Linked DNA regions of Callithrix jacchus. Each later gene encodes a partner of the first gene's protein in a complex. Links are inferred from orthologs where the notes say so. Each region holds a gene or a part of one and is shown in the gene's direction. Other genes may lie near its edges. The genes, in order: STX18, BET1L, STX5 and VAMP7.

What was found.
Region 2: STX18 (region 1) and BET1L share a complex: the UniProt entries of both Homo sapiens proteins name them as parts of the SNARE complex. The link is inferred for Callithrix jacchus from reciprocal best matches to the Homo sapiens genes STX18 and BET1L.
Region 3: STX18 (region 1) and STX5 share a complex: the UniProt entries of both Homo sapiens proteins name them as parts of the SNARE complex. The link is inferred for Callithrix jacchus from reciprocal best matches to the Homo sapiens genes STX18 and STX5.
Region 4: STX18 (region 1) and VAMP7 share a complex: the UniProt entries of both Homo sapiens proteins name them as parts of the SNARE complex. The link is inferred for Callithrix jacchus from reciprocal best matches to the Homo sapiens genes STX18 and VAMP7.

Annotation. Positions count from the first base shown.
Region 1 is NC_133504.1:184,725,570-184,733,390, reverse strand, and holds the start of STX18 (syntaxin-18), read left to right. Parts: upstream 1-3,270; 5' UTR 3,271-3,354; coding exon 3,355-3,522; intron 3,523-7,821. UniProt on the Homo sapiens protein: Syntaxin that may be involved in targeting and fusion of Golgi-derived retrograde transport vesicles with the ER.
Region 2 is NC_133511.1:131,723,675-131,731,579, forward strand, and holds BET1L (BET1-like protein), read left to right. Parts: upstream 1-3,644; 5' UTR 3,645-3,711; coding exon 3,712-3,730; intron 3,731-4,902; coding exon 4,903-4,994; intron 4,995-5,264; coding exon 5,265-5,321; intron 5,322-5,438; coding exon 5,439-5,606; 3' UTR 5,607-7,486; coding exon of another isoform or gene 7,487-7,645; 3' UTR 7,646-7,863; downstream 7,864-7,905. Other genes in the region: RIC8A (chaperone Ric-8A), read right to left, coding at 986-1,576, 1,665-1,712, 2,571-2,654. UniProt on the Homo sapiens protein: Vesicle SNARE required for targeting and fusion of retrograde transport vesicles with the Golgi complex. Required for the integrity of the Golgi complex.
Region 3 is NC_133511.1:120,110,110-120,117,839, reverse strand, and holds the start of STX5 (syntaxin-5), read left to right. Parts: upstream 1-2,970; 5' UTR 2,971-3,068; intron 3,069-3,749; 5' UTR 3,750-3,768; coding exon 3,769-3,993; intron 3,994-5,510; coding exon 5,511-5,581; intron 5,582-5,744; coding exon 5,745-5,800; intron 5,801-5,920; coding exon 5,921-5,991; intron 5,992-7,730. Other genes in the region: WDR74 (WD repeat-containing protein 74), read left to right, coding at 281-381, 477-532, 1,183-1,328, 1,445-1,501, 1,897-2,076; TEX54 (testis-expressed protein 54), read left to right, coding at 2,279-2,647. UniProt on the Homo sapiens protein: Mediates endoplasmic reticulum to Golgi transport.
Region 4 is NC_133524.1:151,448,596-151,456,462, forward strand, and holds the start of VAMP7 (vesicle-associated membrane protein 7), read left to right. Parts: upstream 1-3,906; 5' UTR 3,907-4,029; intron 4,030-7,867. UniProt on the Homo sapiens protein: Involved in the targeting and/or fusion of transport vesicles to their target membrane during transport of proteins from the early endosome to the lysosome. Required for heterotypic fusion of late endosomes with lysosomes and homotypic lysosomal fusion.

The DNA of each region.
Region 1 (7,821 bases):
TCCTGCTTTTCCCTTTTTTTTTTTTTTTTTTGCACATCTGTTTCAGAGCTACACTCCTGGAGCTGCTGGAAGAAAGCCACCCTGGGCTAGGTCCAGTGGCTTATGCCTGTAATCCCAGCACTTTGGGAGGCCAAGGCGGGTGGATCACCTGAGATCAGGAGTTCAAGACCCCAGCCTGGCTAACACGGTGAAACCCTGTCTCTACTAAAAATACAAAAATAAAAAAAATTATCTGGGCAGGGGGGTGGATGCCTGTAATCCCAGCTACTCAGGAGGCTGAGGTGGGAGAATTGCTTGAACCCAGGAGGCAGAGGTTGCAGTGAGCCAAGATCGTGCCATTGCACTCCAGCCTAGGCAGCAAGAGCAAACTCCATCTAAAGAAGGAAAGAAAGAAAGAAAAGAAAGAAAGAAGAAAGAAAGAAAGAAAGAAAGAAAGAAAGAAAGAAAGAAAGAAAGAAAGAAAGGGAAAGAAAGAAAGGGAAAGAAAGAAAGGAAGAAATCCTGAATTCTTTATCTAGGTTCCCTCTCGGGAATAAACATTTCTTCTTCGAGCTTCTCAGCCCTAGAGTCAGGGACCTTTCTAGAGTCCCTGAGGGGGGGAAAAAAAGGTTTTCAATGAATTTAATTAAGTTTACTTCCTAATGTGAAGGTATATGTTTTTGAAGGTCTTTCCTCATAAAGGTCTTCATCCTCACCATCATCACACCAAGTAGGCTGAGGAACAGGAGGGGTTGGTCTTGCTTTCTTAGGGGTGGCAAAGGCAGAAGGAAGTCTGAGTATTAGTGGAAGCGTGCAGTTCAAGCCTGTGTTGTTCAAGAGTCGACTGCGTATTTTTCAGAACAGTGTCTGGCCCAATCAATGTCTGCTGAACGCATAAAGAAAACATGATCTGTGCACTACATCCAACAGGCTGGGCACGGTGGCACACGCCTATAGTCCTAGCTACTCAGGAGGCTGAACCGAGAGGATCATTTGAGCCCTGGAGCTGCAGTAGTAACTCTCACAACATTTCTGCTCACCCTTTTAATCCACAGCCCCTTTCAGCTTCATGGAGTTTAATACAGTCCATGGTCAACGAAGTCACTTTGCTCTTTGAAATTAAAGAGTAAACACAACATTTAAAAAGCACAACCCATATCCCACGGTCTGTGGAAAGTTCAGCAGCCTCCTCAAGATCTTTGTGACTTTTCTAGGAATTTTATGTACTGTGGTCACTTGTGGATTTACAGCCTGATGTTTTGAGCTCACTTGGGACTCATATCCACTACAATCTTCTCTGCTCTTGCAAATCCACACAGAAAACTTAGATCTTTGTCCCTACCCTTCTACCCAAAATATCCAACTGCATCAAACACACTGTTCACACAAGGCACCACTCACTGAAGTCTTGATATAGTTCAGCCTCCCTCTCACTCAAAAATCCTTTCCAGTTACCTACTTTGTACTTTCCTGGCCCCTCCCTTGGTTCTGGCTTCTCTTTTTTCCCCCCTAATTCAATCCCCCTCACTTAATTATGCAGAGCAATCTCTCTTTCCTTCTACTGTGCCCCAGGCTTAACTTTGCATAGCCAAAAACTCATTAATGTCTGGATTAAACAAAGGGCCATTTGTGCAAGATAGAATCATTGGCAGAGATTTTGTGATTTCTTTCACTTTTCCTCAGTAGGTGGAAGAAAGCTGTATGGAAATGTATTTTCCTTAAACTGCAAGGAATGGCTACAGTTTGGGCTTAAATAATCTTTTTCTTCCTCCTTTCTGGTAAATATATACTTTCTTGACATCTATTTCTGATCAACTTTATTTCTTTAACATAGTGGTTCTCAAACTTTTGGTCTCAACTCTTTTGCACACTTAAAAATTGCTAAGGGCTGTAAACAATTTTTGTTTATATTGACATTATCAACATTTACTATATGAGAAACTAAAACCAAAACTTTTTATGTCTTTGAAAACCTTTTTTAAAGTCTGGCTTAATAGAAAACAGCTGTTCTGCATTCATTCCGTTGCAATATCACACACAGTCTCTAACAAACTCAAGTGTATACAACTCATGAGGAAGTGAGAGTGAAAAGGCAAGTAACGTCTTAGTATTATGAAAAGAGTTTTATATTGGTGACCATTTAAACCACTGCATTAACACATATTCTACTTGTGCATTCTCTTTATGAAAAAAAATCTTGAGATTTTGTTTTAACACTGAACCATAGGCCAGGCAAGGTGGCACATGCCCAAAGTCCCCGTCACTCAGGAGGCGGAGCGGGGGAGGATCATTTGAGCCCTGGGGTTCCAGTGAGTAGTGAGCTAGGATGGCGTCTTTGAACAGCCACTGTAATCTCACTGGGCAACATAGTGAGACCCCCATCTTAAACACACACACACACACCCCAGAACCATGAACCAAAAAATGCAGAAGAAACTCATTGACTGACTTGTCATTGTTTATGACTCAAGATTTGAAAACTATGCATGAAGGATGAACAGAATCCAGCGGCATTAGGGTCACCCTTTCACCTCTGTCTCCATCTAAAGTTCCTATTCATCCTTCAAATCTCTGCACAGGTGACGCCTTCTCTCTAGAGCCTCTTTCTCACCACAAATAAGATTATAATAATATTTATTAATTATAATATTTATTAATAACATTTATTAATATGTTTTTATTATTATAATAACAACATATTAACGATAACTACCATTTATTGGCCACTTACTGGGAGCCAAGAAACACCAAAACAGCACGCGTCGGGTCATTTAATTTTCACAGTAAACTCCGAGGAGGATGCTGGCTTCCCTTTACAGAAGAGGTGGCGGAAGGCTGGAGAACAAAGGCCTCTGGCTCTGTGCCCTGCACACCTGCTCTGTCCCAGCACTTATTGCACCCCGAGGGTCACCGTCCACGTGCCTCTGACATGCTCAGGGTGAGTCCTTGCAGTCAAAGGTCAAGGGGGTCTCGCCTTCGCGTCCCCCGCAACCAAATCGTCCGGGCTCAGTGAGGGAGCCACCAGAAGGGAAGGAACTTCCCAGCTTTCCGGTCTTTATGCTCCCGGAGCCCACAAGCCCCAGACAGACATAGGAGAGCTCTCCGTGCTGCTAAACCCTCCAAGCTTTGCCTGGAGAAGGGACTACCCGTGAGCACGTTGCCGGGTCCCTCCTCCTCTAGGCGCGCCAGCTTAGGCCGGAACCTTTTTCCTCCCGCCGCGGTAGCCGGGCGCAGGCCGGAACCTTTCTTCTCGCGCCACCGTTGCCGGGGGGAGGCGTGCGGGGTAGGACCAGTCCTCTAGCTGGCGGATTAGCGCCGCGGTCGCTGGCTGCTGACGTGGGCGGGTCCCGTTTGGGGCTGCGGGTGCGGGTCGCTATGGCGGTGGATATCACGCTGCTATTCCGGGCCAGCGTCAAGACCGTGAAGACGCGGAACAAGGCGCTGGGAGTGGCGGTGGGCGGCGGGGTCGATGGCAGCCGGGATGAGCTGTTCCGCCGGAGCCCCAGGCCCAAGGGCGACTTCTCCAGCCGGGCCCGCGAAGTGGTAAGCTGGTTGCTATGGAAACGGCGGCTTGAGGAGGGGACAGACCTGCGACAGGGACCCCAGGCCCCAAACCAGACCTCGTCCCTTAAGCATTGTGTAAAGAGTGTGGCCCCAAGGAGGACAGTACAGTTGGCCTCAGCCGACAGCTTCTGGGGGAAGGAGCAGCCTTATTTTGAGGAAGGGGGACGCATTATTGGGGAACGGATTTCTCCTTCGGCGGCGGGGTTTAGGGGGCGAAGAAGAAGACGCTCAGAAATCTCTATCTGGAAAGTGCATGGGCGGCTTTGTGAGGTCATGAGATCGCTGTCATTACAGACTTGCACTCGGGAAGTTTCCTCACAGTCCTTCGCTTCCTGTCGAAGCACTGACCACACTGTATTTGCCTGTTCTGTTTGCTTGCCTGCCTCCCACCCCCAGTTGAGATTAAAACCGTATTAAACCGAACTCTTTCTTTACTTTGTCTTCGCAATAAGTAGGACTCAGTTCCGCTTGAGACAGGTTTAGGATAATCTTTCACAGTGTTAAGTCATCTCAACTACTTTCTGTTTCCTGGACAGAGCAGGTGTTCCTTCATCTCCCTGGGACTAGGAACCTTTTCGTTAAGGGAAGGGACAGTGTTGTTTTCATCTCAGAATGCATGACTTATACAGCATTGCTTAGTAAATGTCTGTTGAATGAATGAATGAATAAATGGCTGTCTTTACCACGAGGCAGAAAACTGCACAACGGGAGAGATGTTTGTCTTGTTCCCTATTGTATATGTGACACCAAGTGGGGATCTAGTTTTTGTGGGGCCTAAAGCTTATATAATTCTGTCTCCTCTTTTTAAGAAGAAAACCGCCAAGAAAGGTTGAGAGCTTTGGAAGTTTGAAGTGAGGGACCCTGAAGCTTAAGCTTCATTAATTTCACGCTAAATCTACCTCTGCTTGGCATGCACTTGGCACTGTATAGACATTCAGATATTTTTGAATGAATGTATGCATGCGTGCATTAATGACAGTTAGCTGAAGATACTTAAACCTCAGAAAGGGGATTGGACCAGATGAATACACTTACCCCATTGATGAACATCTATGAAGCACTTACCTTTTGACCAGCCTCATGTTAGAGTAACATGATGTAAAAGGAGTGGTTGAGGATACGGACATAGAAATAAAACAAGTACTGTAAAGCCCTGTAAGTGTTGTGTAGGGCACAAAGAAGAATGTGGTCAGTTCTACCTGAGGATCAGAAAAGGCTTTATAGAGGTGATGATGCTTCAAACAAGTCTTGAAAGAGGATTAGTTGGTTTCAGTACAGACAAGGTGGGGAAGGGCATCTCAGGCTAAGAGCATAGTGTGCGCTAAGGTCTGGAGGTAGGTAATTGTCTGACATAAGTTGGTTCATAAACATTTGAGTGGGACTGGAATGTGGGACTTCTCATAAAAATTGGAATAGAGTGGCAGCAGGGGGAGATCTTGAAGGGCTTTGTATATCACTGCAGAGTTTGAATTTGGCCTTGTAGGTGGGCAGATGTTATATGATAGAGAAAGCACCAAAGATGGAGCGAGCCAAGAGACCAGGTTGTTGTCTGACGGTGCAACTATTAGCTACATGATTTCATTAAGCAAGTTTTAAGACCTTATTTTATTTACCTGTGAATGATCCTTTTTTTTCCTCCTCCTCCTTTTAAAAAACTACCTTGATCCTCTCTATATAACACATCAAAGTGAGAGCTACCTAGGTTGAAATGAGAGGAAGAGAAACAGGACATTCTCCCTCCCTATACTCCCAGTTTGTCCCAAGCACTTCCTGGGGTTCCTTTTGTAGAACTGTGGTATAATATTGTCTTTTGAAGGGCCCCTTCTAACTCTGAAACCACTGATTTATTAGCACTGTGCTAATTTTGAGTCCTGCTCAAGGAAAGGGGGGATTTGGGAATTGGAGAGGCAAGAGGCAACAGTTGGGTTGGCAAGCCCTTTGGAGAGTCCTGTAACCACTTCCACCTCTCCCTGAGTGGTGAAAATGTGTTTTAGGCATTTGAGTTTATGGGCCTCAGAGATAGTAACAGCAACAGTCCCTTAAGGTGCTGAGTTCCCTGTCTTTGGAAGTCATTAAACAGAGTGATGACTGCTTTTTAGAGATGTTTGAGAAGAACTTTGTCCATGTGTCACAGGGTTGGACCACATGGCAGTGAAACTTCCAATTCTGCTATGTATTGATGTGGGTACGTGTCACATCACCTCAAGTGAGTATATGGGCTGTGTTGTTCAGGGACACAGTCCCCCTGACCTAGAGGAAACATATATTCTTTTAAGCAGTTTTGATTTTCTGTTGTCATTGCTTTGTGTGTTATCTTCTATACTTGCAACTGTTTCCCACTCCGCATCTTTTCTTGTGGAAAGTTTAACTAGAAGAACTAGTGATGGATGTCCTGTGCTTTCACTACAGTTAGATGTGTCAAAAGTTTGGTGTTATTTTGTTTGGCCTGGATTCCTTATACAGAAAAGTCTGGTGCACATATCCTGATTCAGATTTAGCCCTGATTGTCAGACCTAAGGAAATGTAGTAAGTTATAGTATGCCTGTTAGTAAGTGCCTTCCTTGAAGCATTTGCTGTCACTTCTAGGATGCATTTTGTCTGGCTCAGTTTCTGTTCTTACATTCCATTCCTCAAATATATGCCTGGTGCCGGATTTCCATCTCACTGAATTGTTATAAAGGCTATATTAAGTTTAATAAAATTGCATTGAAACTAAATCTTCCTCCCCACCTCCCACCAACAGGCTTTCTTCTGCATCGTTCTTTTAAACATTTAACTTTTATGCTCAGTTTTGCTAAATTTATATATACTCAAATGCATGTCTACCCATTAAATTACAAATGGAGAGTAACAACTTTTCAGATTATTTGGGAGAGGAACTTATATTATTTGAACAACTCCAAATAATAATGAATATGTCACTCTACAATGGGAATTTGATGAGTTAACTCATTTGAAGTGTGGGACTAATGAGGACTGTGGGATTGGAAAGGGATCTGGGCCTTGGGTTCAAATCTGGCTTCTTGTACTTAGAAATGGGTGAACTTGGGCAAGTCTGACTCTCATTTTCCATTTCTATAAAATGGACATGATAATACCCTACTTAACTCACCAGCTGAGTTGGGTAGTTGTGAGTCACCCTGCTCGCATAGTCTTTATGTATATGTTTTAAGGAACCAGACTGATTATTATTGTTCCCCTAAACTACCTCGCCTCTCCTCATGGAGGCCATTTAGACGTGTTTTCTTTAGTGGCACCAAGCTATGCTTTCCAAACCACTTAGCTTTCTTGCACTTCATTAAGGGAGCCAAGTTAAGTGCACGAGGAACGCGTGAAAGTCCTGTGCAGGTGCTGACGAATCAGTGGTGGTGCAGAAGTACTGTCCGCATTTGTAAAAGACAGTGGCATTTCTTTGTCAATGTGAAACTCTTTCAGTGATGGCAGATGTGCGGCAGGTGTGCAGCTGTTACTTTCTCTTCTTCCCTGTGATAGTGGAAGCCAATGCTAATTTCTTAGTGGATCCCTATAGCTCAGAGTCCTTTACAACATGGTACCCCAGGAGCCATTACCAATTCAAGTTGAAATCCGCTTGGCATATAGTAAAAGTAGAATCTGTATGCTTAGAGCAGACCCATTTATTTTAGGCACTCGAAAGGACCTTGAGTTCATTTGGTTAATAGGTAAGAAAACTAACACCCGAATAAATAAAAGGACTTGCCCAAAGTCATGGCAGTTGAGGTCATAGGACAGAGCCAGAGTAGAAGCCAGGTCCTTTGGCGTGGTTTAATGCTGCTCTCTCCCTCCCCCCTACATCCTCAGATAATTTTTAAACCAGAATTCCCTTGGTTTCTGAATGGTGGTGAGTTTCTTCTTCTTGAGTTAATTCTGCATATCGAATGGAACTTGAGGCAGAAAGACTTGGATTTGAATGCCTCTTACCTGCTCTATGAACTCAGGGAAGTTACTTAATTTCGGTTACCTTATTTACTCACTCTATTCAGTCTGAAATAGAGTGAGTAATGGCAACCTTATAAAGTTGTTAGATGAAGTAAGAAAAGGTGTGCAGGTACCTGCATGAGTCTCAGTTCTTTTGGTTGCAAGTGAGGGTAACAGAACGTAAACTAACCTGAACAAAGTGCAAATGCCTTAGCTCATGTCACTGGGAAATCCAGGGATAGAACTTCTTTCTCTAGCTCTTATCCATAAAGCCCCAGGAAGGAACTCTAATTGGTTCTGCTTGATCCTAAGCTCTCTCCTACGATAGTCATTATGGCCAGA
Region 2 (7,905 bases), on another chromosome or scaffold:
GTCTTGCACTCCAAGAATATGTGGCACTGACTGTGCAGCTCCCATACTCCATGCCTGACCCCCTGGGGTCTCCTAAGTGACTTTGGTAGTGCTGGGGGCAAAAGATGACCACCTCTGTCTTCTTAAAAGCACCTCCGCCGAGGCGGGTGGATCACGGGGTCAAGAGATCGAGACCATCCCGGTCAACATGGTGAAACCCTGTCTCTACTAAAAACACAAAAAACATTAGCTGGGCATGGTGGTGCGTGCCTGTAATCCCAGCACTTTGGGAGGCCGAGACGGGTGGATCACGAGGTCAAGAGATCGAGACCATTCTGGTCAACATGGTGAAACCCCGTCTCTACTAAACACACAAAAAACATTAGCTGGGCATGGTGGCGCGTGCCTGTAATCCCAGCACTTTGGGAGGCCGAGACGGGTGGATCACGAGGTCAAGAGATCGAGACCATCCTGGTCAACATGGTGAAACCCCGTCTCTACTAAACACACAAAAAAAATTAGCTGGGCATGGTGGTGCGTGCCTGTAATCCCAGCTACTCGGGAGGCTGAGGCAGGAGAATTGCCTGAACCCAGGAGGTGGAGGTTGTGGTGAGTTGAGATCGCACCATTGCACTCCAGCCTGGGTAATAAGAGCGAAACTCCGTCTCAGAAAAAAAAAAAAAAAATCACCTCCCTGAGTAGAAACACATTCCCTGGGGAGGTCACACAGTGTGTCAGCCCCACTCATGGCCTCATGGTGAAGGATCTCTTACAGTCTCCCCTGACACCACACAGCCCTCCTGCCAGGCAGCAAGAGCCAGAAGGGGATCCCTGAGGTTCCAGCCCGAAACTGGCATCTCCTTGGCCTTGTCCCAATAGGCTGAGAGATCCTATCCTCTCCATGTCTGACACTCAGAAACCCGAAGGTACCCAGTGGGAAGCAAGCAGGTCCAGAAAATGCTGGAGCTGAGCTGAGACCCAGCCACGGGTTGCCATCAGTGCTCACCTCGTCCACCTCCCCCTTGATGGAGTCGAGGGTGATGTTGAAGAGCACTTTGAGGATCTCCATGGCCCGCTCAGTCTCTTGGGAAGGAAGGAGCTTGGGTGGGTTCCCTTCGGGAGTCACCCCCAGCGTCAGTTCCAGCGTGTCCGTCAGCAGACTCACTCCTTTCAGTTCCTGAAACAGCTGCTGGCGCACATCGGTGCGGAGTGCAGTCAGCAGGAAGAGGAGCCGCAAGTCAAAGAACTGGACGTCGTGCGGGAAGGTCCTCACTCGGTACAGCCCCACGCGCTCTGTGAGCTTCACCACTAGGCGGGCCTCCGCTGCCAGCGTCTGTGCCACAGGGCTGCTGAGCACGAGGTTGCACAGGCACTTGAGGGACTCCAGAACAACATCCATGTCTGCGGACTCAGGGACGGAGCCCTCGGAGACAGAGATGCCAGCATGGGTGGCCAGTGCCTGCATGCTCTGGCGGCTGGTGAACGGGTCCCAGCAGTTGCGGTCCCGGGACAGGATTCGGACACTCTGCAGCCAGGTGACACGGTGGGAGGGTGGCAAGCCCTGTTCCAGGACGGAGACCAGCAGCTCCGCCAGTCTCTGTGGGCAAGGAGAAGAGCGGCTCCACCAGGTCCCTCTTCCTGGGGCCACCCGTCCCTGCCCCTTTACCCCTCGGGCCAGCACCCACCTTCCGGTCCGCCTGCTGGGTGTCATCAAACGTGAAGCTCTGGGAGTGCTGCAGAGAGAAACAGTGAATTCAAGTCCAGAGAGGGGCAGGCTCCGCGTCCGCTGATGGGCGGCGGCCACCGCTCAGAACGGATGGCAGGGTCTACACGCGCCCCCATCCCTACGCACCTGCCACCCAGCGGTGCACCCCACACTCTCCCCTCAACATCGCATCCCGGACCTGGCCCCCCCGACGCCGCCGTGTCCCCTGTGCTCGCGGATACAGCCCCTGCCTCGCTCTCCCACCCGTCCCTGCCACGCGTGCCCGTCCCCCCCGGCCTCCGGATACAGCCCCTGCCTCGCTCTCCCACCCGTCCCTGCCACGCGTGCCCGCCCCTCGGCCTCCGGATACAGCCCCTGCCTCGCTCTCCTACCCGTCCCTGCCACGCGTGCCCCCCCCCCCCGGCCTCCGGATACAGCCCCTGCCTCGCTCTCCTACCCGTCCCTGCCACGCGTGCCCCCCCCCCCCGGCCTCCGGATACAGCCCCTGCCTCGCTCTCCTACCCGTCCCTGCCACGCGTGCCCCCCCCCCCGGCCTCCGGATACAGCCCCTGCCTCGCTCTCCCACCCGTCCCTGCCACGCGTGCCCGACCCCGGCCTCCGGATACAGCCCCTGCCTCGCTCTCCTACCCGTCCCTGCCACGCGTGCCCCCCCCCCCCGGCCTCCGGATACAGCCCCTGCCTCGCTCTCCTACCCGTCCCTGCCACGCGTGCCCCCCCCCCCGGCCTCCGGATACAGCCCCTGCCTCGCTCTCCCACCCGTCCCTGCCACGCGTGCCCGACCCCGGCCTCCGGATACAGCCCCTGCCTCGCTCTCCTACCCGTCCCTGCCACGCGTGCCCGACTCCGGCCTCCGGCGGCGGCTCACCTCCTGGTTGTACGACCGCAGAGCTTCCATAATCACATCCTCCTTCCCCGTCTCCACGGCTGCTGCAACCGCCCGGGGCTCCATGGCGCCCCCGGGACCCGCCCCAGCCGTTCCGGGCCGCAATTCGCCGGCCCCGCCCTGGCCCAGAGAGCTCCGCGCCAGCGCGCATGGGAGGCCGGGACGGGGTGCGGCGTCGGGCGGCGCCTTCAGGGGGCGCGGCCTGGAGCCGAAGCGGCGGTTCGAAGGTTTCCAGACCCGAGTCGCCCTCGACCGAACTGACCCCTCTCCTTGTGACCCGCGCTTCTTGGGCAGGAATTTCCAACGGGAAAGGATCTCAGCCCCCACCTCGCCCTGCCACACACACAGCGCCGCCCCTGGATCTCCACAGAACGGATGGGGTGTGGAGGGGGAGCCGAAGTGGGGGACTTTTCAGTCCTGGGCCATCGGGTTCGTTAGGCGTTTGCTGGGGAACGCAGGCGAACGGGACTCCTAGGTCCATGCTTTCGCGGAGCTTTTGTTCCCGAGGGGAAGGCACACAAGCAAACACCAAAGGACACGAGGCTGTGCTTCAAAACGGGCAGCGAGGAAACGCTGCTTTTGCTGACACCGGACGACAGGAAGTGGCCGGGAACAGGGCTCCTGCTCGGGGGGGCCTGCTCCCTCCTCATGACGCGCCTGTGAATCCTTCCCCGCCGTTAGGACCTAACCCACGGAAGCGTCTATCCCACACCGTAGTCCTGGCACCGAGCCAACAGCCCCGCCCCGCCCTACGCTCACAGGAACAACAAACGTCACATCCGCGGTGGCGCACACCAGTAATCCCAGCACCTTGGGAGGCCGAGGCGGGAGGGCTGCTTGGCCCGGCAGGCGGAGGGTGCAGTGAGCCGAGATCGCGTCACTGCACGCCAGCCTGGGACGGTGCGGAAAATGAAAGGCACATCCGTGCCGCGCTCCTGCGACCGGCGGTTCCCAACTCGTAGCCCTCAGCCGGAAGTCAGCGAGTTCAAGGCGGAAGGGGCAGGGGCATATAGGGGCGTGGTCGCTGCGGAGGCGGGGCCGGAAGTCCTGCCCCTTGACTGCGCCACGTCCGAGGCGGCGGTTGCCGCGTCGGTGTCGGCGTTGAAGAGCCGGGGAAGGCACCATGGCGGACTGGGCTAGGGGTGAGCGCCAGAGAGCGGAGTCGTTGGGGGCGGGGCCGGGCCCGGCCGGAGCCGACGCTGTTACCTGCAGAGCCGCGTACGCCTGCCTCTAAACTGTCCTCGGCGGAGAGGACCCTGTCACGGGGGCAGATTCGGATCCTTCCGGGTCCGAGGGGGCGGCCTAGCCGCTCCAGCGAGGGGTCGCGCAGCTGCGGGGTCCCCCAACTCTCCGCCATTCCCTGTGAGATCGTTCTGCGTGGGTTCGGGGTGCGGGAGCCTCCGCATTCGGCAGGTCCCGGGGCCAGGCCCTAGGAGTACAGGCCACGCGTGCACCGTTGGTGTCCAAGCAGGCGTCTGCTAACTTGGGCCTCGATGGCCCCAGTCCCCCTCCCGGAGCCCGTGTTCTTGTCTGCAAAGTGGGATATTGATGTTTGCCTGTCTGTGTTGCACCCGTTGCTTACATTGAAGCTAGGCAGCAGGTGGTTCTCACCTACCTGATGTGACAGAAATTCCTTATCACCTGGCCCAGCCTATCACATCACAGGCCAGGCCGCTGCAAGCACTATGCTCTGGGTGTTGCGGGAAGCCCTCTGTGGGATGCAGACCAAGGATCCCTCTCTTGGTCGACCTCAGCTCCCATGGTGGGGAATTGGGAGCTTGGCTCAGACCTTTTTTTGTGCGGTAAAGCGCCTTCTCAACATTCTGTCCTGGTTCCTTGCCACCTCTTCAGGAGCCAGCTCTGAAGTCGCCCCTGTAGGAGCCTTCCTACTGCTCTGCTGGGTACTTTCCCCAAGCCTTTCCTACACTTTTACACAGATGGGACCTCCATGGATGCAAGTGTCACATCTTACCAGCATCCCAGGGCTGGGTGCAGTTTCTGCTACACAGTGTGGGAAACTGCTGGTTGCACCGAGCCTGTTGTGGGTGCTTGCCCATCCCCACCTGGATGTGTACACAGGGCGTGTGTTCACATGACATGCGCTTACTTACACACATCGTTCTTTATGCAGCCTGCCTCACATGTGCAAGATCCACCTGCTGGAACCTGGTTAGGGCCTTGTGTCTGCCACCTGCCCAGCAGACACAGGGCCCAGTCCCCCTGGATTTCCAACTCACCCAGATGTGGTTGGAGCGACGGGTCAGGGGCCGTGCTCACCGGTGGATGCAACCCCTCAGCCTCTCTCTCTTCTCAGGTCAGAGTCCTGGTGCTGTGGAAGAGATACTAGACCGGGAGAACAAGCGAATGACCGACAGCCTGGCCTCCAAAGTCACCAGGCTCAAATCGGTCAGTGGTGGTCTCCTGTCCTCTTACCTCTACCATGTGCCCTTGGGGGGTGGGGGTCAGAGGAAAGGCAGACGGCCCAGAGGAGTTTCAGGCAGTTTTCTATCCTCATGTGCTTTGTGGCTGTGCTCACCTGCATGAGGCCCCACCTGGACCTCTCTGCTGCTGCAGCACTCTGGCAGAGTTGTTGGCAGGGCTTGTCTGGTCTGGGGAGGGTGAGTGCTGCATTATGTGTCTGCTCTGGCCCAACCCTGCCCTCTCTGTGCTGAACAGCTTGCCCTGGACATCGACAGGGACGCAGAGGATCAGAACCGGTACCTGGATGGCATGGTAAGGGCCTGCCCCAACACTACCTGCTGTAGAGCCTGCAGTGTCTCCTTCAGCACTGGTGCGGGTGGGTGGTGAAATCACCACTTCTGTGTGATCTTGCTGGGATTCCCCCTTTAGGACTCGGATTTCACAAGCATGACCGGCCTGCTTACAGGGAGTGTGAAGCGCTTTTCCGCAATGGCAAGGTCTGGACGGGACAACCGGAAGCTTCTGTGTGGCATGGCCATGGGTCTGATTGTGGTCTTCTTCATCCTCTCCTACTTCTTGTCGAGGGCAAGGACGTGAACCAGTGGGAGCTGGTGTCTCTGGGTGCCTGGCGTCTTGGGCTCCAGAGAACTTACCTACAAAATACTCCTTTGAAATTACAATTGTGGGTTTGGAATCTTCTTCCTGTGGGGCAGGAGGCTGTGGCAGCCTGTGACCTGATGAGCTCATGTTGGCTGTGGAAGGGACTCTCTTTTGGGGAAACCAAGGGCCAGCCCCTCCCTCCTCCCCCAGGTGCTAGAGACACCAGCAGAGTTGGGGCCACAGCATGTCTGGAGGAGCCAGGTCCAAGCGCAGCAGCTGTTGAATCCCAGACGTAGCCACTTGAGGCCTGCAGCCTTTCTCCCAGCTCTTGGGACGCTGACATCTTAAGGCCCTATGGCTGTGTCCTTGTCTGGGTGAGGCCATGTCTGTGATCCAAGGTGCCTGGAGCTGACACAGGAAGGGACTGTGAACCCTGAGTGAGTGCCATCTCCTCCGACTGAGGCCTCTCAGCCTGGAGATGACGGTTCCTTCTGGCCACGGTTGCTAGGCATGGGCAGACCAGCGTGGGCTACTCTGCTGTGAGTTTTCTCTGCCTGCTCTCCAGTCCTGCGGATGAAGTGAGACCCTTGGGGAGAACTGGGGTGTGGATGGAGTGAACTGCAGCCTTGGCCTAGTGGCTGCGCCTGGATCCTTCTGGGTCATGTGACTGTATCCAGGAGCAGAAACTTGCGTTCTCAGGAGTCAGGATCAGCCCAGCACCAAAGACGTGTTTTCGGGAGAGCAGACCTAGAAGTGGGCCTGTTTGGCATTTCAGAGTCAGGCAAACCTGTGGATCTACACAGGAAGGTTCCTGTGAGGACTCCAGTTGCCGCCTAGCTTGCTGGTAACTTTTGCCCCTCTGCCAAGCCCTGCCAGGCTCCCTTGACTGTGATGGTGCTCCGTGCTGTCCTCTTGTCTCTAGCCTCTGCAGGATGCCCACCCTACCCACCTCTCCCTGGGCTGGGCTGATGTTCAAACCACTGGACTGGCAGGGAAATGACTTCTTCCCACCTCAAGATGAGGTCCCAGCCCCCTTGTCTTGGCATAAAAACACCTTTGAAGTATGAGTCGTGTGCTTCTGTGCCCTTCTTTGTCCTGTTCCAATCTTGTTCCTTCCAGTCACTCCCTGGAGACTATGGGCTCACTGTCCCCCCACCTGTGGCCACACCATGTGTCCCGTCCATCCCAAACTGCCTCAGAGCTCCAGGCTGACCAGAGACAAGGCACAGCCTGGAGCCTGCAGCCCCACTTTGCTCACCCTTCCCCTCCCTTCCTTCTCCCTTACACACAGCAAGCCCCCTTTCTCCATGCACGCTCACCACAGCCCCCTTCCTTGTACCTGGCTGAGACTGTCAGCCTCCCAGAGGAGTGGAGTCCATCTTCTTACTCGCTCATGCAGTGCAGGCCTGCTTCTTCTCACCCAGCAAGGTCTACTCGACTGCCTCCATTCTCTGGGGCTTTGCTGTTGCCCTGTAACCTAGCTGGGCTGGTGTTGCTCCCAGCTTGCTGCCCCCTCTTCAGATGTCCCTTTGCAGACCCCTGTCATTTTTCCGGCACCAGTGTCCTTGCCTGCCATGGCTTGCCTTAGTCCTCTGCTCATCAGGGGCTTGTCCCTTGGTTACCTGGTAGGGTAGCGGCTGCCTGCATTGTCTCCCAACTCCATCCCGCATGTTTTCCTGGGCCATTCAAGGCTGACCTCCATTTCTGGGGAATGTGACTGAGCTGTGGGAACCGAACCAGACCCCCGTGCTGTTTCCTTAGTGGCACCCGCTCATCTTGCTGATGCAAACTAGGAAGTTAGGCTGCAACTCGGGGTGACCTTTGTCGTCTCTGAGACGCAGTCTCTGTATTCCCTCCCTGTCTCTCCATCTCCACAGCTGTTTGCAGCCCTCCCAGGTACTTTGGGGTCTGGGCTGGACTTCTTTCTGGTTTGCTTATCTGCGTCTTACTCTTGCTGTGTTAAGATCCTGCAAAGGGAGAGTGGCAACCCTGCTGCTGCTGTGCCAGACCAGAGTTTTCTGAGGGGCCGACCCTAACCCTCAGCCCCGTGCACCTGACCCTGTAAAAGAGCGGGCTTTGCTGACTGTGATCCCTGATACCAGTGAAACCAAAAGGGATCTTGGGGCCCATCGTGAGAGCCAGGGCTACCCACTCTGCCAAGTGAGGACAGAGTGCTAGGTTCTATCCCATAATTTCAAGACAAAACACGTAAACAATAAAAATTTGTCGTAAATATGATTTTATGAAGAACTAATCATATGGTCTCTGTTGTCCTCATTTCCTTGGGATTTGAGGA
Region 3 (7,730 bases), on another chromosome or scaffold:
TGTTTTCCATCCCTTCATTTCCCTAGATGGGAGTATGGGGGGTGGAATGCTCACACACTTCCAACCTGGGGAACCTCTCCTCAGCTCTGTCCATTCATGCTGCTAAGCAGCTCTTCCAACACCCCAATGCTCAAAGAAGAAGCATACATCTAAGATGAGAAAGTTTCTCTGAGAGTGGGTCATAAATAAAGCAGTGTGCAGGGAGGGGGTGAGGATACAGAGATGCCAGAGGGTGGGTGGAGGGTGAGGATACTTTTGTGATGCTTCAGCCTTCCTCTAGGTCCGTGTCTATGATCCAGCCTCCCCTCAGCGCCGGCCAGTCCTAGAGACCACCTATGGAGAGTACCCACTAACAGCCATGACCCTCACTCCTGGAGGCAAGTGAGTGTTTAGAGGGGAAGGCATGGGAGGGTGGGGCTTGGGAAGGGCTCCAGGAGGTTACTGCTGACCCCGCCTGCCTCTGATCTCATTCTCAGCTCAGTGATTGTGGGAAACACTCATGGGCAGCTGGCAGAAATTGACCTTCGGCAAGGTGAGTGGACTAGGGTATGTTTGGGGAAAGGAAGGAGCGGGGATAAGGGTTAGGATTCCCTCTAAGGTGGTGCAGTGGGGCCAGTGAGGCCTCATGCCCGTGCCAAATTGCCTGGGTTCAAATCCTGATTTCCCCAAAAGCTGTACCACCTAAAACTTTTTTTTTGAGATGGCGTCTTGCTTTGTAGCCCAGGCTGGAGTGCAGTGGTGCAATCGCAGTTCACTGCAACCTCCACCTCCCTGATCCCAGTTCAAGCAATTCTCCTACCTCAGCCTCCCAAGTAGCTGGGATTACAGGCATGAGCCACCATGCCCAGCTAGGTTTTTTTGTATTTTTTTAGTAGAGACAGGGTTTTACCACATTGGCCAGTCTGGTCTTGAACTCCTGACCTTGTGATCCACCTTCCTCTGCCTCCCAAAGTGCTGGGATTACAGGTGTGAGCCACCGCACCTGGCCCAACCTTAAACTAATTATTTCAACTCCCTGTACCTTGGTTTCCTCACCTTCGAAATGGAACTATTAGTAGACGCTCCAGTCTCAGAGTTTTGTTGAAGATTAAGTGTTGAAATGGAAAGTGATTGAAACAGAAAATAATGAATGGTTGGTTATTGGCCAGCCAGTTATCACTGATGCTTCCGCCCCTTCTTCAGGGCGTCTACTGGGCTGTCTGAAGGGGCTGGCAGGCAGTGTCCGTGGGTTGCAGTGCCACCCTTCCAAGCCTCTACTGGCCTCCTGTGGCTTGGACAGAGTCTTGAGGATACACAGGATCCAGAATCCACGGGGTCTGGAGCATAAGGTAAGTGATCCCTCCTACCCCCAACTCATGGTCTTGTGGAAGCCCAGCCTCCTTGTGCCCCCCATTCATGTTTGTCTCAGCATGCCTGGCTCCTTAAGGCCTCTCATCTTCTGCAGGTTTATCTCAAGTCTCAATTGAACTGCCTCCTCCTGTCAGACAGGGACAACTGGGAGGTGAGCAGTTGGGTCAGGAATGTGGGAGCCAAGGGCATAGATGTGAGGACCTCCCTATGGAGAGGAAAAGGAGGCAGCTGGAATGCAGACCTGGGACCCTCTCTTTACCTCTCTGGTCACTTAATTTCTCTGAGAGGCATTAACAGTTAAAATCCTGAGAGGGTTATTGCCAAGAATATGGATGGGGCTGCTTTCTGGGAGTGGGGAATAAAGGTGGTGGTACCCAGAAGTTTTTTACTTCTTTTTGTGGAGGCGGGGTCTCCTTATGTTACCCAGTCTGGTCGCTAAGTCCTGGGCTCAAACAATCCTGCTTTGGCCTCCGAAAGTGCTGAGATTACAGGCGGGAGCCACTGTGCCCGGCCCCCCTGACTGTGAAGCTTCTTCCCACTCACCAGGATGAGCCCCAAGAACCTCAAGAACCCAACAACGTGCCCCTAGAAGACACAGAGACAGATGAACTTTGGGCATCCTTGGAGGCAGCTGCCAAGCGGAAGCTCTCAGATTTGGAGCAGACCCAAGGAGCTCTCCAAACCAGGCGGAGAAAGAAGAAGCGGCCTGGGTCCACCAGCCCCTGACACCCCTCTGTGCCCAGTTTGTAAATAAACAGCTAAACACCCTCCATGACCCTGAGCCTTTTGTGATGGGAGAAAGGAATGAGGGGTAGCTTGAGGTGGGGGCTCCCTGAGCTGGGGTGACGGGATACCTAATGTCACAAAGCCGGGCCTGGAGCCAGGCAGGCTGGTGTGGGTGGCACGGAGTCTGGGGCCGCGCGGGGCCATGGGCTGCTGCCAAGACAAGGACTTTCAGATGTCTGATGAGCAGGAAGAAGAGTCCGAGGACCTCGGGGAAGGTGAGGCCACAGATAAAAGAAGAGGGCCCAGGGAGCGGGAGAGGGGGCTTCCTGAGGGTAGGGCTGAGCTCAGAGGCCTCATCGTCCCCTCAGGCGCCGAAAATATCCACGTGAACGCCCCAGACCACCGGAATCACAAGTCGAACGAAAGCCTTCTGATCACTGTGCTGTGGCGGCGGCTATCCTTGTTCAGTCGTCGGGGCTCCTCGCGGGCAAGCAAGAGGCAATCAGACGTGGTTCGGAAGAAGGAGACTCCGATCCGAGAAGGCAACCAGGAGGAGCCGGAGAAGGGATGACTCCAGACCCGCTCTTAGTCCACCCGTACCTCCAGAGAATAAAATTTCTGACGTGAACCTGCAAGACCGTTCTGGGGACGGGGCGCGGACACCTCCGGGCGGCTGGCTCTTTAAGGCTCCTCCCCGGAGGCGGGCCCAGCCCCCTGGGCTCCGGCTGTTGTCTTCAGGGGCGGGGTCATGGTGGTATCTTAGCCAATGGGATGGTGGGGTTGCTCTTGCGTTTGGTGAGGGGCGTGTCTCTCGGATAGCCGGGCTCGAAAACGTGTGGGACCGCCCCGTCGTCACCGGGGGTGGGGCTACGTGTGGGTGACGTGGCCGCTTCCAGTCTTTGGTCGGGTTTCGGCGGCTTCGGTTCCCAGGGAGGAGGCGGTGACGGCCGGGGAGATTGGCAGTGGTGGCGGCGGCAGGCGGCAGAGGGGAGGTAAGATTCGCTTTCAGAGGGTGTCTGGACACCGTGTCAGCTCCGGGGTAGTGGTTTTACGGGGGCGACGACTGGCGGGGGGAAGGGAACCAGGGGCGAGCGGGCAAGTCCTGCCGGCCCGGCTCCCGGTGAGCGAATTCCTTGCCGTCCAATTAGGAAAGCCTCTGTTGAGAGAGACGTCGGCCTTAGCTAATGAGTGATTGAAGTCTTCCAGAAGGCGGACCTTGGGCGGGGGGTGGGACTTCCTGTTTCAAATAAACACCCAGAGGTTTGCCCCTCCGCCCACCGAAGTGTGTCCCTCTCTGGAGGTCCGTCACCCGCTCTCCCTGGCCGAAGGAAACCGCAGATACAAAAGGGCTGGGTAGGGGCAGTTACACAGGCCAGGCCAGAGTCTCAGGACCACAGGACTTGGCTCGGGCCCTCTCCCTGCTTCAGGGTCCTCGGCCCGCGTTTTGGCCGTCAGAGCCAAGTTGAAAGAAGAGTCTGAAGAGGGTTCGACTTGGGCCAGGGGAAAATCGGGGCCCTTTCCGCTGCGGGCCTGCTCCAGGATCTGCGAGCGCCTTGGGCGCGAAAGTCTTTAAAAAGTGCAGAAGGGGCTCGAGGATTTGTTGATTGGGACGGGGCTGGGGAGTTTGGGTAAAGAAGCTGCCTGGGGAAATGACACTCTCCCCTCCACAACAGTCCGAGGTTATGCGTCTCAATGATCCCGCGGAAACGCTACGGGTCTAAGAACACGGATCAGGGTGTCTACCTGGGTCTCTCAAAGACACAGGTCCTGTCCCCTGCAACTGCTGGCAGTAGCAGCAACGACATCGCCCCTCTGCCCCCCCCAGTGGCCCTCGTCCCTCCCCCTCCCGACACCATGTCCTGCCGGGATCGGACCCAGGAGTTTCTGTCTGCCTGCAAGTCGCTGCAGAGCCGTCAGGTAAGGACCTGCAGTGGAAAAGGTGAGGAGTGACTCTTACTCAAATCTAGGAAGGACTGTGCTCCAGCACTGTTAACTGAAGTAATTCTTGGGGAAACCTGATGGAACTGATAGGCTTGGATGGGGCTAGTAAGGTCTGCTATAAGTAACAGAGAAGAGGTCGGCTGGCTAATTAGAGGCAAGGACTTAGACATTTTTTAATGAGGAATCCCCTGGAGTGCAGGATTGCTATTCTGGAGAGAGTACTTCAGGGCCAGACTTGGCTGCAATATAATTGGTGTGAATAAGGAACAAGTTGTAGGAAGAGCCTTTAGCTGAGAGACATCCACCTTGAATTTTCCAGTATACTTCTGCCATAAGTTTGCTCTGTGACCATGAGAAAATTAGTTAATCTAGTTATGTCTTTCTTAGTTTTTAATCTCTGTAAGACGAAGGACATTTTTCTATATCAGTAATTTGTTGTTTTGTTTCTGTTTTGTTTTGAGATCTAATTTCAGCTCTATCAACAGGCTGGAGTGTAGTGGTGTGATCATAGCTCACTGCAGATTTGAACTCCTGTACTCAAAGGATCCTCTTACCTCTCGGCCTCCTGAGCAGCTGGGGCTACATGGATGTACCACACAGCTAATTTTTTTATTTTTTTGATATAGCCAGTGTCTCACGATGTTGCCCAGGTTGGTCTGGGCACCACACCTGGCCTAGATCAGTAATTTGTATCAAAATCAATGGGTTGGTTACGGTGGCTCATACCTGTAATTCCAGCACTTTGGGAGGCCTAGGCTAGGCCAGAGGATTGCTTGAGGCTAGGAGTTAGAGACCAGCCTGGGCAATATAGCAAGACCCTGTCTCTACAAAAAGTTAAAAATTAGCTAGGTGTGGTGGTGTATCCTGTAGTCCCAGCTACTTGGGAGGCTGAGCGGGAGGATCGCTTGAGGCAAGGATGTCACGGCCACAGTGAGCTATGATCATATATTCCAGCCTGGGAGACAGAGTGAGACCCTGTCTCAAAAACAGAACAGTTAAAAAAAAGTTTTTTTTTAACTATTCATCTGTTGGTAAAGCTGCTCTTCTATGTGATCTCCAAGGGCTTTGCAGTCATCCTCACTGACTTCCCGATTTGAGGAATAGAATGGCAATACAAGCTACCATTTATTTAGTGCTTACAATGTACCAGGTAGTTGATGAAAGTACTTTTCAGCTTTTTTGTTATTTAATCTTAGCAACAAGAAGCGGAGAGGTGTGGATTGTCTTCATTTTACAGAAGGGGAAATAAGAGATTCAGAATGTTTTAAGTAACTCGTTCCCAAAACCCCTAGCTAGTAAGTAGCGAGTCAAGATTTGAACTCCGGTTTACTTGTCTTCAAATCTGGAGTCTAAACCACTACCACTGATAAATCTAGATCATTGGATGGATGCCACCAGTACTAGAGATAGTTTAGTGGACACCTGAGGAAGAGTGAAAACTGGAACTGGGGAAGGGGGATCTAAAGTTGTCACCTCCTGCCATTGCTTTTCAGAATGGAATCCAGACAAATAAGCCAGCTTTGCGTGCTGTCCGACAGCGCAGTGAATTCACCCTCATGGCCAAGTGAGTTGAGAGAAGCTTTCTGGTGGGGTGATACAATGTCTGAAGAAAAGTAGGCTTGCCTTCAGTGGCCTTGGCTGTGAAGTCTGGGATTGGTTGTGCTGGAGCTTATATGGGAAAAGGCCTTCTCCTGCCCTTTCCCAGTCTCACTAGTGGTCGTTTGCAGGCGCATTGGGAAAGACCTTAGCAACACATTTGCCAAGCTGGAGAAGCTGACAATCTGTGAGTGTTCTTGGGGTCTTTCAGAAGTGGGGCAGTAGTACATCACAGAGGGCTGAGGACTACATTCCCTGAGCTTTGTCTTTCACCTTGCCCATTGCGGCTTCTTGTTTGTCTCTGTAGTGGCAAAGCGCAAGTCCCTCTTTGATGATAAAGCGGTGGAAATTGAAGAGCTTACATATATCATCAAACAGGTGAGCTACTAGCCATCAGAAGAGCCCAGCAATCTAATCAGATCACTTCTATGGTTCTGTCATTCTCCATTGCCATGGGGACCCAGGGCAAGTTTCTTTTTTTCAGAGAGAAGGGTCTCACTGTGTTGACCAGGCTGGAGTGTAGTGGTGCGATCCTAGCTCACTGCAGCTCTTAACTCTTGGGCTCTAGGCTCAAGCTTTCCTCTAGCCTCAGCCTGCTGAGTGGTTGAGACTACAGGCACATGTCCTCATGCCTGCATAATTTTTTTTCTTTTTGAGACCGAGTCTTGCTCTGTCACCCAGGCCGGAGTGTAGTGGTGCAATCTTGGCTCACTGCAACCTCAGCCTCCCAAGTAACTGGGATTACAGGCTCCTGCCACCACACCCGGCTAACTTCTTTAGTATTTTTAGTAGAGACGGGGTTTCACCATGTTGGTCAGGCTGGTCTAAAACTCCTAACCTCAAGTGATATGTCCGCCTCAGCCTCCCAAAGTATTGGGATTACAGGTGTGAGCCACCACGCCTGGCCATAATTTATTTTTATTTTTGTAGAGATGGGATCTTGCTGTATTGCCCAGCCTGGTCCTGAACTCCTGGCCTCAAGCAATCCTCCAGCCTCAGCCTCTCAAAGTTCTGGTGTTACAGTCCTGGCCCCAGAGCAAGTTTTTAGAGCAAGTGCAAACATCCTGCATTGAGTCAGTAGATACTTGCTGATCATCCACCATAGGCAAAGCATCAAGGTGGGCAGCGTTAACATTAACTGGGGCAAGATTCTTGCCTCTGGGTGGGCACTGTGGCTCACGCCTGTAATCCCAGCACTTTGGGAGGCCAAGGCAGGTGGATCACCTGAGGTCAGGAGTTGGAGACCAGCCTGGCCAACATGGTGAAACCCTGTCTCTACTAAAAAAAATACAAAAATTAGCTGGCACTCACTGTAATCCCAGCTACTCGGAATGCTGAGGAAGGAGAATCACTTGAACCCGGGAGGCGGAGGTTGCGGTGAGCCAAGATTGCACCACTGCACTCCAGCCTGGGCGACAAGAGTGGAGAAGAAAAAAGATTCGTGCCTTTAACGGCTTATTATCTAGAATAGGTATCCAGTTTCATAGACCCATCCTTAAAATGAGTTTAGAAGGCCAGGCGCAGTGGCTCACGCCTGTAATCCCAGGACTTTGGGAGGCCGAGGCGGGTGGATCGCGAGGTCAAGAGATCAAGACCATCCTGGCCAACACAGTGAAACCCCGTCTCTACTAAAAAATACAAAAATTGCCTGGGCATGGTGGCTCACGCCTGTAGTTCCAGCTACTCGGGAGGCTGAGACAGGAGAATTGCTTGAACCCAGGAGGTGGAGGTTGCAGTGAGCCGAGATTACGCCACTGCACTCCAGCCTGGTGACAGAGCGAGACTCTGAAAAAAAAAAATGAATATAGAAGGCAAATGGTACAGCAAGATTTTACAAAAAGATGAATGAGACAGTCTGGGTACAAGGAAAGACATGATAATGGGGGTGAAATCTGAACTTGTGTAGATTCAAGCCTTGTGTAGAGGCAATGGAAGGACATTCCAAGCAGAGGAAACGATGTGTGCCCAGACCTGGCCTTGAAAACAGAGGGTTCAGAGCCAAATGCCATGGATCATGCCTGTAATCCCAGCACTCTGAGAGGCCAAGATGGGAGGATCACTCTGGACTGGACAATAAAAGAAGACCTTGTCTCTACAGAAATAAAAAATAGGCCAGT
Region 4 (7,867 bases), on another chromosome or scaffold:
AACCACTGATGGCTCAGATGAACTGAGGAAGGTATATGATGACTTTAATGGGAATAAGCTCCAAAGAGAAATATGTCCCATACTCAAATGTCAATTATTATATAGCTATTGATATAGTGAATTCCCAGGAGGCAAATATTTCTTCTGTTCCCCTGGGATATAGGGCTCTCCTGGCCTGCCCTTCTAGGGTCTGCAGTTGCCAGCCCTGGGATGGACACTTCTACAGGAGCTCTTTGTAAATGTCCAGATAGCCATGTTTATCAGTGCCCCACCATTCACTATGGTAACCCTAGATGCTGAAAATAACCATGTTAAGGAAATTAGGCTGTGTGCATTCACTCACTCGCTCACTCGTTGAATGGTTCACAGAACAAACATTATGAAGTGGCAGGCTTTAGGCCAGTTTCTGACCAGTGATTTGGATATCACCTAACTGTTGTTGAGACAAATCTTTCTGACTTGACTTTGGGAAAGGGATGGGAATGAGGTCCCTTCTCCAGCAAGAATCCAAGACAACCACTAAGTTGGAAGGTTGTAGGGGAAATTCCCAGTGTCAAATGAAGTGGGGTTGGGGACAGGTGTTTTGTTCTGAACCTGTGATTATACAATTCTGCTCCAATCTCTCCTTCCCCTGAACTGGTTTGCATGGGTGTACACACACACACACACGCACATGCACACGCACACACACACACACACACACACACCCCACAGTCTTTAGTATAGATATGCTGCTGCCAGGTGGTAACTACCTGTCTTTGTTAATAGACCTTCAACTTTGCTCTCAATTCTCTTGAGAATTTTTTGATCAAGACCTCACATATTTAAACCATCAACTTCCATGCCTTATTATATAAGAGGTAAAACATCTTAATTAAGGATAAGCTTATGCAAACATTAAATAAAACTCAAGGCAAAAAAAACCACATCATGATTCAATCCTGTTAAACAGAATATAAAACCAGAGTCTCAGATATGACTAGAGCTTTGTATATGATAAGTTTATTTCATATTAGCCCAACAGACTTTCTTGTACTTTCATGTACTAGGTGCTCTGGAGCACCTAGTACATGAGAGCCAGTTTATAATCCAGCTTCTTAGCTTTGTAATCTTTGCCAAGACCAGCAAATTTCTTGTATGTACAACTGGATCAGGTTCTCTCTAAACTTTTCATTCTATAATTCCAGGCTGGGTAGCTGAAAATGGCAAGCAAAACCTTTATTCCATAAACTCAAACTATCTAAAATCATCAATTACTAAAGGTGATTCCATTCTTTGGCAACATGATGAAATGGTGTATTAGCCCATTCTTGCATTGCTATAAGGAACTATGTGAGAGACTGGGCATCGTGGCTTGTGCCTGTAATCCCAGCAGTTTGGGAGACCAAGGCAGATGGATCACAAGGTCAGGAGTTCGAGAACACCCTGACCAACAAAGTGAAACCCCATCGCTACTACAAATACATAAATTAGCTGGGGATTGTGGCCTGCACCTGTAATCCCAGCTAGTCAGGAGGCTAAGGCAGGAAAATCACTTAAACCTGGGAGACGGAGGTTGCAGTTAGCCAAGATCATGCCACTGCACTCCAGCCTGGGTGACAGAGCGAGATTCCATCTCAAAGAAAAAAAAAAAGAACTACCTGAGACTGGGTAATTTATAAAGAAAAGAGGTTTAATTGACTCACAGTTCTACAGGCTCTACAAGAACATGGCCGGGATGTTACAAGAAAGAGGGTCCAGATCCAGACCCCAAGAGAGGGTTCTTGGATGTCCCACGAGAAAGAATTCAGGGCGAGTCCATCGAGTAAAGTGAAAGCAAGTTTATTTACAAAAGTAAAAGAACAAAAGACTGGCTACTCCATAGTCAGAGCATCCGGGAGGGCTGCTGGTTGCCTGTTTTTATGGTTATTTCTTGATGACATGTTAAACAAGGGGTGGATTATTTATGCCTCCCCTTTTTAGACCATAGAAGGTAAGATCCTGATGTTGCCATGGCATTTGTAAACTGTCATGCCACTGGTGAGAGTGTAGCAGTGAGGACGACCAGAGGTCACTCTTGTCGCCATCTTGGTTTTGTCAGATTTTAGCTGGCTTCTTTACTGCAACCTGTTTTATCAGCAAGGTCTTTATGATCCGTAACTTGCGCTGACCTCCTATCTCATCCTGCAATTTAGAATTCCTTAACCATCTGGGAATGCAGCCCAGTAGGTCTCAGCCTCATTTTACCCAGCTGCTATTCACGATAAAGTTGTTTTGATTCACATACCTCTGACAGGGAGATCTCAGGGAACTTACAATCATGGTGGAAGGCAAAGGGGAATCAGGCACGTCTTACATGGACAGCTAATTATATTATAAAGTTTAGGGTACAGATGAGATTACTTTAGGAGAGAATAAGGAGTAAGGGGATTTGCTAGAGTCCTGAAAGGTCTAAAGAGAGCCAACACTTAGAGTTCACACAGCTTAGTAACTCAGATCTGTCTGACTCTAAAACTTATTCTTTTTCTAATATAATATGCTGCCTCTTAAAGAATAGATACTGAATGCAATATAATTTTAATAATGTGAAATGTGAATCTTTGCAGAGGGAAGATAAAGCAAGGGGAATGATTAAGATCACCAGGAAGAGTGTGAAGAATAAGAAGAGAAGATGGCGTAGGATAGAACCCTATGGAATGTGAACATTTCAAAAGAAAATGAAGAGCTGCCACAGAGGTAAGAGGAGAAGCGGGAGTGTATAGCATCTTGCATAGAGCTAAGAGAATAAAGGAGTTCAAAAAGGAGGAAATAAGGGCCAGGCGCAGTGGTTCATGCGTGTTATCCCAGCACTTTGGGAGGCTGAGGTGGACTGATCATGAGGTCAGAAGTTGGAGACCAGGAGACCAGGAGACCAGCCTGGCCAATATGGTGAAACCCCGTCTGTACTAAAAATATAAAGAATTAGCTGGGCGTGGTGACAGGCGCCTGTATTCCCAGCTACTCGGGAGGCTGACGCAGGAGAATTGCCTGAACCCAGAAGGGTTGCGGTGAGCCGAGATCGCGCCATTGCACTCCAGCCTGGGTAACAAGAGCGAAACTCCGTCTCAAAAATAAAAGAAGAGCTTGACTCTGATTCGGCAACAGGGAATAGGGATGGAAGAGGGATGGGTTTAGATCAAAGGAGAGTAGTAGTTATCATTATTATTGCTAAAGAATGGGAGAAAGGATTGGTGAGGGGTACAAGAAAATAAGAACATTTCATGGCAAAAATAGAGGCACTTCCTGTCAGCTGAATTCTATTTTGTCGGTGAAGAAACAGGCAATGTTGCCTACTGAAACTAAGCAGGAGAGACGGGGCAAGCGTGGCTCTTCATTTATGCCGCCTACTCACTGCTGGTAGAATCTTTTCTTTCTTTCTTTCTTTCTTTTTTAAGACGGAGTTTCTCTCTTGTTACCCAGGCTAGAGTGCAATGGCGCGATCTCGGATCACCGCAACCACCGCCTCTTGGGTTCAGGCAATTCTCCTGCCTCAGCCTTCTGAGTAGCTGGGATTACCGGCACGAGCCACCGTGCCCAGCTAATTTTTTGTATTTTTAGTACAGACGGGGTTTCACCATGTTGACCAGGATGGTCTCGATCTCTTGACCTCGTGATCCACCCGCCTCGGCCTCCCAAAGTGCTGGGATTACAGGTAGAATCTTTAGCCTGCATTCTCTCATTTGCGTGGATCCCTATACGGCGTTTGACGTTGTTTACGGCCAGAGCTGTCCCCGGAACGTGGCCAGTCGGAACTACTACTCCCGGAATGCACTACGGCTCCTGGGAAGTGCGGGGGGGGCGGGGCTGGGAACTTAGCAGGCCTAGCCCTGTTGCCTGCTGCCATTGGAGGAGCGCTCCCATTCCCAAGAGGCCACGCGTAGGCGGGGCGCTTCACGCGGAAGTTAGCGGCGTCGGGTCCCAGCCTCCTCTGGGAGCGGGCAGTTGGCGACCCTGCGCTGACCCGCGCCCCTAGGTCCCGAGCCCGCGCGCCCTCAGAAGGTGCCCGGACAGGTAAATGGAGTGGGGCGCGCTCTGTGGGAGGCGGAAACACAACTGCGGAGGGAGAGGGAAGGTGTCGACGGAAAGGTGCTGGGGTGGAGCGGGTAGGCAGTGTAAGGGTGACTTGGGCTTCTCTGGTGTACACAGTACCGGTTGTCGGGCAGGTCCGGTTTCGGCGAGGTGCGTCTTTTGCCGCTGGAAAGGCCTCGAGTTAAAAAGAGTGTCAGAATGCGTCACTTAAGCTGTCATTACAGGAGGGAAAAAATGTTAATTTTCTCTCAGTTTGCATTCTACAAGACTTTTCTGTACCATTTAAATCGCTTGAGATCGACCGAGTCTTCTAAAAACTCTCTGCGTCCTTATTCGATGACGTCACTTTCCGCTTCACCTACTTCTGGCTGTTTATGCTCCTTCGTGGGTTCCTGGCCCCTTATTCACCCTTCCTCCACTGCTCATTATTGACAGTCCACTTCTTCCTCTGTTTGGCTAGGAACTGTATCTCCGCCTAGACCTGTTTCCTCATCTTCAGACCTGTTTGGTGTTTTTATTAACCGCCAATGTTTATCAAATTCTGACCACGTGCTAGCGTCTTTGGTAAACGCTTTACATCTCCCACTCCCATAACTCTCACAATCAGCTGTCTTCATTCGGCCTCATTTATTGCTTTCAACTACCTGTATCTCCATTCTCCCTCCCTTGATCCCAGAGATACAGCCATGTTAGGGATATTAATTACCTTTGAATACTTGTGGCTGAGAGCAGATCCATTCGTATGTTTAACAAATATTTATTGAGTGGCTGATCTGTGCTTGACACTCTTTTTTTTTTTTTTTTGAGACGGAGTTTCGCTCTTGTTACCCAGGCTGGAGTGCAATGGCGTGATCTCGGCTCACCGCAACCTCCACCTCCTGGGTTCAGGAAATTCTCCTGCCTCAGCCTCCTGAGTAGCTGGGATTACAGGCACACGCCACCATGCCCAGCTAATTTTTTGTATTTTTAGTAGAGACGGGGTTTCACCATGTTGACCAGGATGGTCTCGATCTCTTGACCTCGTGATCCACCCGCCTCGGCCTCCCAAAGTGCTGGGATTTTACAGGCATGAGCCACCACGCCTGGCCGACTCTCTTTTTAAGTGCAGGGGATACAGCTGTAAACAAGACTTAGGTTGCTACACTCAGGAACTTACATGTTTGTGTCTAGAGGGGAAAACAGAAATAGGATTATGTTATATATTGCCTAATGTGAAATAAAACAGGTGGTTGACTTGAAAGGGTGGGATCCTATCCTAAGAAAGTCAGAGAGATTGGATTGGGTCTCAGAGCATCATCCAGAAAGAATAGTTGTAATACTAACAGGAATAATCTTGATCTATAACCTGACTTCATAAACACCTCTCCTTTTCCCCTTTCTAAGCAGTGTTTATTCTTCATTTTTTCTATCTCCTCCAAGCTTATTGCATCCGAATTCTTGGTTTATCTGTAGTTACTTTATTCTTTCTAACTCCCAGATGGAAGAGTTGGGGATTGGATTACTGTTAGCTCAACTGCTTTATCTTACTTCAAAAGGTGATTTGGTTGTGAAAATATTATTCTTACTAGGTCTTTCTGAATATAAAGTTATCTATCATTTATAGTGTATTTAAAACCAAAGTATGCTCAATGTTCACTTACTTATTCAACAAATACTTGAGGGCATGCGCGGTGGCTCAACCCTGTAATCCCAGCACTTTGGGAGGCCGAGGCGGGTGGATCACAAGGTCAAGAGATCGAGACCATCCTGGTCAACATGGTGAAACCCCGTCTCTACTAAAAATACAAAAAATTAGCTGGGTGTAATCCCAGCTACTCGGGAGGCTGAGGCAGGAGAATTGCCTGAACCCAGGAAGCGGAGGTTGCGGTGAGCCGAGATCGCACCATTGCACTCCAGCCTGGATAAGAGCAAAACTCCGTCTCAGAAAAGAAAAAAAATACTTGAGGGAAGGTTAACTGCTAGGCACCGTGCTGAGCACTGGGAAAGTAGGGTAAAATAGACACTTTGGCCTCTCTTCCACGGAGAAATAATCCTAACAGTATAGTGAGGAAATTCCTAAGGCATAAGCTGATACCTACATTCCTGTTATTCACCCAAGGTGAGATCATCACAAAGCATTAAGAAATTTCCTGAGTGGTTGTGGACAGTCTTAGATTATTCACTTATTACACTTTATCACATTTATTTATATCTGTCTTCCTCATTGTACCATGGCTCCCTCAAGTATAGGAGTCCCTTCTTCATCAACTTTATACCTCCAGTGTCTACTTTGACTAGCATATAGCAAGCCCTCAGTACATATGTGTTGAACTGAAATAGAAAAACTCCATATCTGATCAAATTTAAATGACATGATTTATACAAGACCTTCTCTATGTAAGGCCATCAGCTGTATTCCTCAATCTTGTCATTCACCAAAGGTGGACCATTCCATCTCATCAGGCTAGTTTATGTACCTTCTTTACCTTGTTCTCACCTCTATGCCTTCTCTTGTTTCATCCGTTCCTCCTAAAATGATCTCCCATCTCTTCCCGAGCACCTTGTCTACCGCCTTACTTTAGTGGGCCAGTTAATTTAATGGTCTGCTCATGATACAAGAATGGAGGCCGGGCACGGTGGCTCACGCCTGTAATCCCAGCACTTTGGGAGGCCGAGGTGGGTGGATCACGAGGTCAAGAGATCGAGACCATCCTGGTCAACATGGTGAAACCCCGTCTCTACTAAAAAAAAACAAAAAATTAGCTGGGCATGGTGGCGCGTGCCTGTAATCCCAGCTACTCAGAAGGCTGAGGCAGGAGAATTGCCTGAACCCAGGAGGCGGAGGTTGCGGTGAGCCGAGATCGCGCCATTGCACTCCAGCCTGGTTAACAAGAGCGAGACTCCGTCTCAAAAAAAAAAAAAAAAATGTAATTGAAAATGCGGTCACAGTGGAGTAGAGTGGACCCTTGATCCAGTATGACTGGGGTCCATATAAAGGAAGGGAAGAGACACAGAGAGAATGCTATATAAAGACACAGAACACCGTGTAACTACAGAGGTAAAGATGGAAGTGCTGCACCTCCAAGCCAAGAAATGCCAAGGATTGCCAGCAAACTATCAGAAGCTAGAAAGAGATAACGGAAGATCCTCCCCTACAGGTTGCAGAGGGAACATGGCCCTGCCAGCACCTCGATTTTGGACTTTTAGCCCTCAGAACTGGGAGGCGATACATTTTGTTGTTTTAAGCCACCAAGTTTTTGGTACTTTATTACAGCAGTTACAAGAAACGAATACAGGATTCTTAGCGGTAATGAAGTAAAACTGGGATGATGGCTGTGGGACCAAGTGAGGAATGAATAGGAGAACAAAAAGGAACAGTGTTGATTCAGGGCTTTCCTTTATATTGCATTCTCTTTTTCTTCCTTTCTCTGGTTTAGCTTTCCATTCTTTTTCTTCTTGAGTCTTATCTTTATATAGCACTTAACGGTTTATGAGACATTTGCATACTGCTAATAATTAGCAGAGCCAGGTTTTCCAACTTCAAGTGCAGTGTTCACTGTGCTGCAGTTGTTTTGTTATCCCAGTACTCATCAAGATGTTATGGATTCTATTACAAGACACAATGGGGGCAGGTAAGACTTCATAGGTAGCATCTTTTTTTTTATTATTGCATTTTAGGTTTTGGGGTACATGTGCAGAACATGCGAGATAGTTGCATAGGTACACACGTGGCACTGTGTTTTGCTGCCTTCCTCCCCTTCACCCACATTTGGCATTTCTCCCCAGGCTATCCCTCCCCAGCTCCCCACCCCGCTTTCCCTCCCCTATTCCCCCCGGTAGA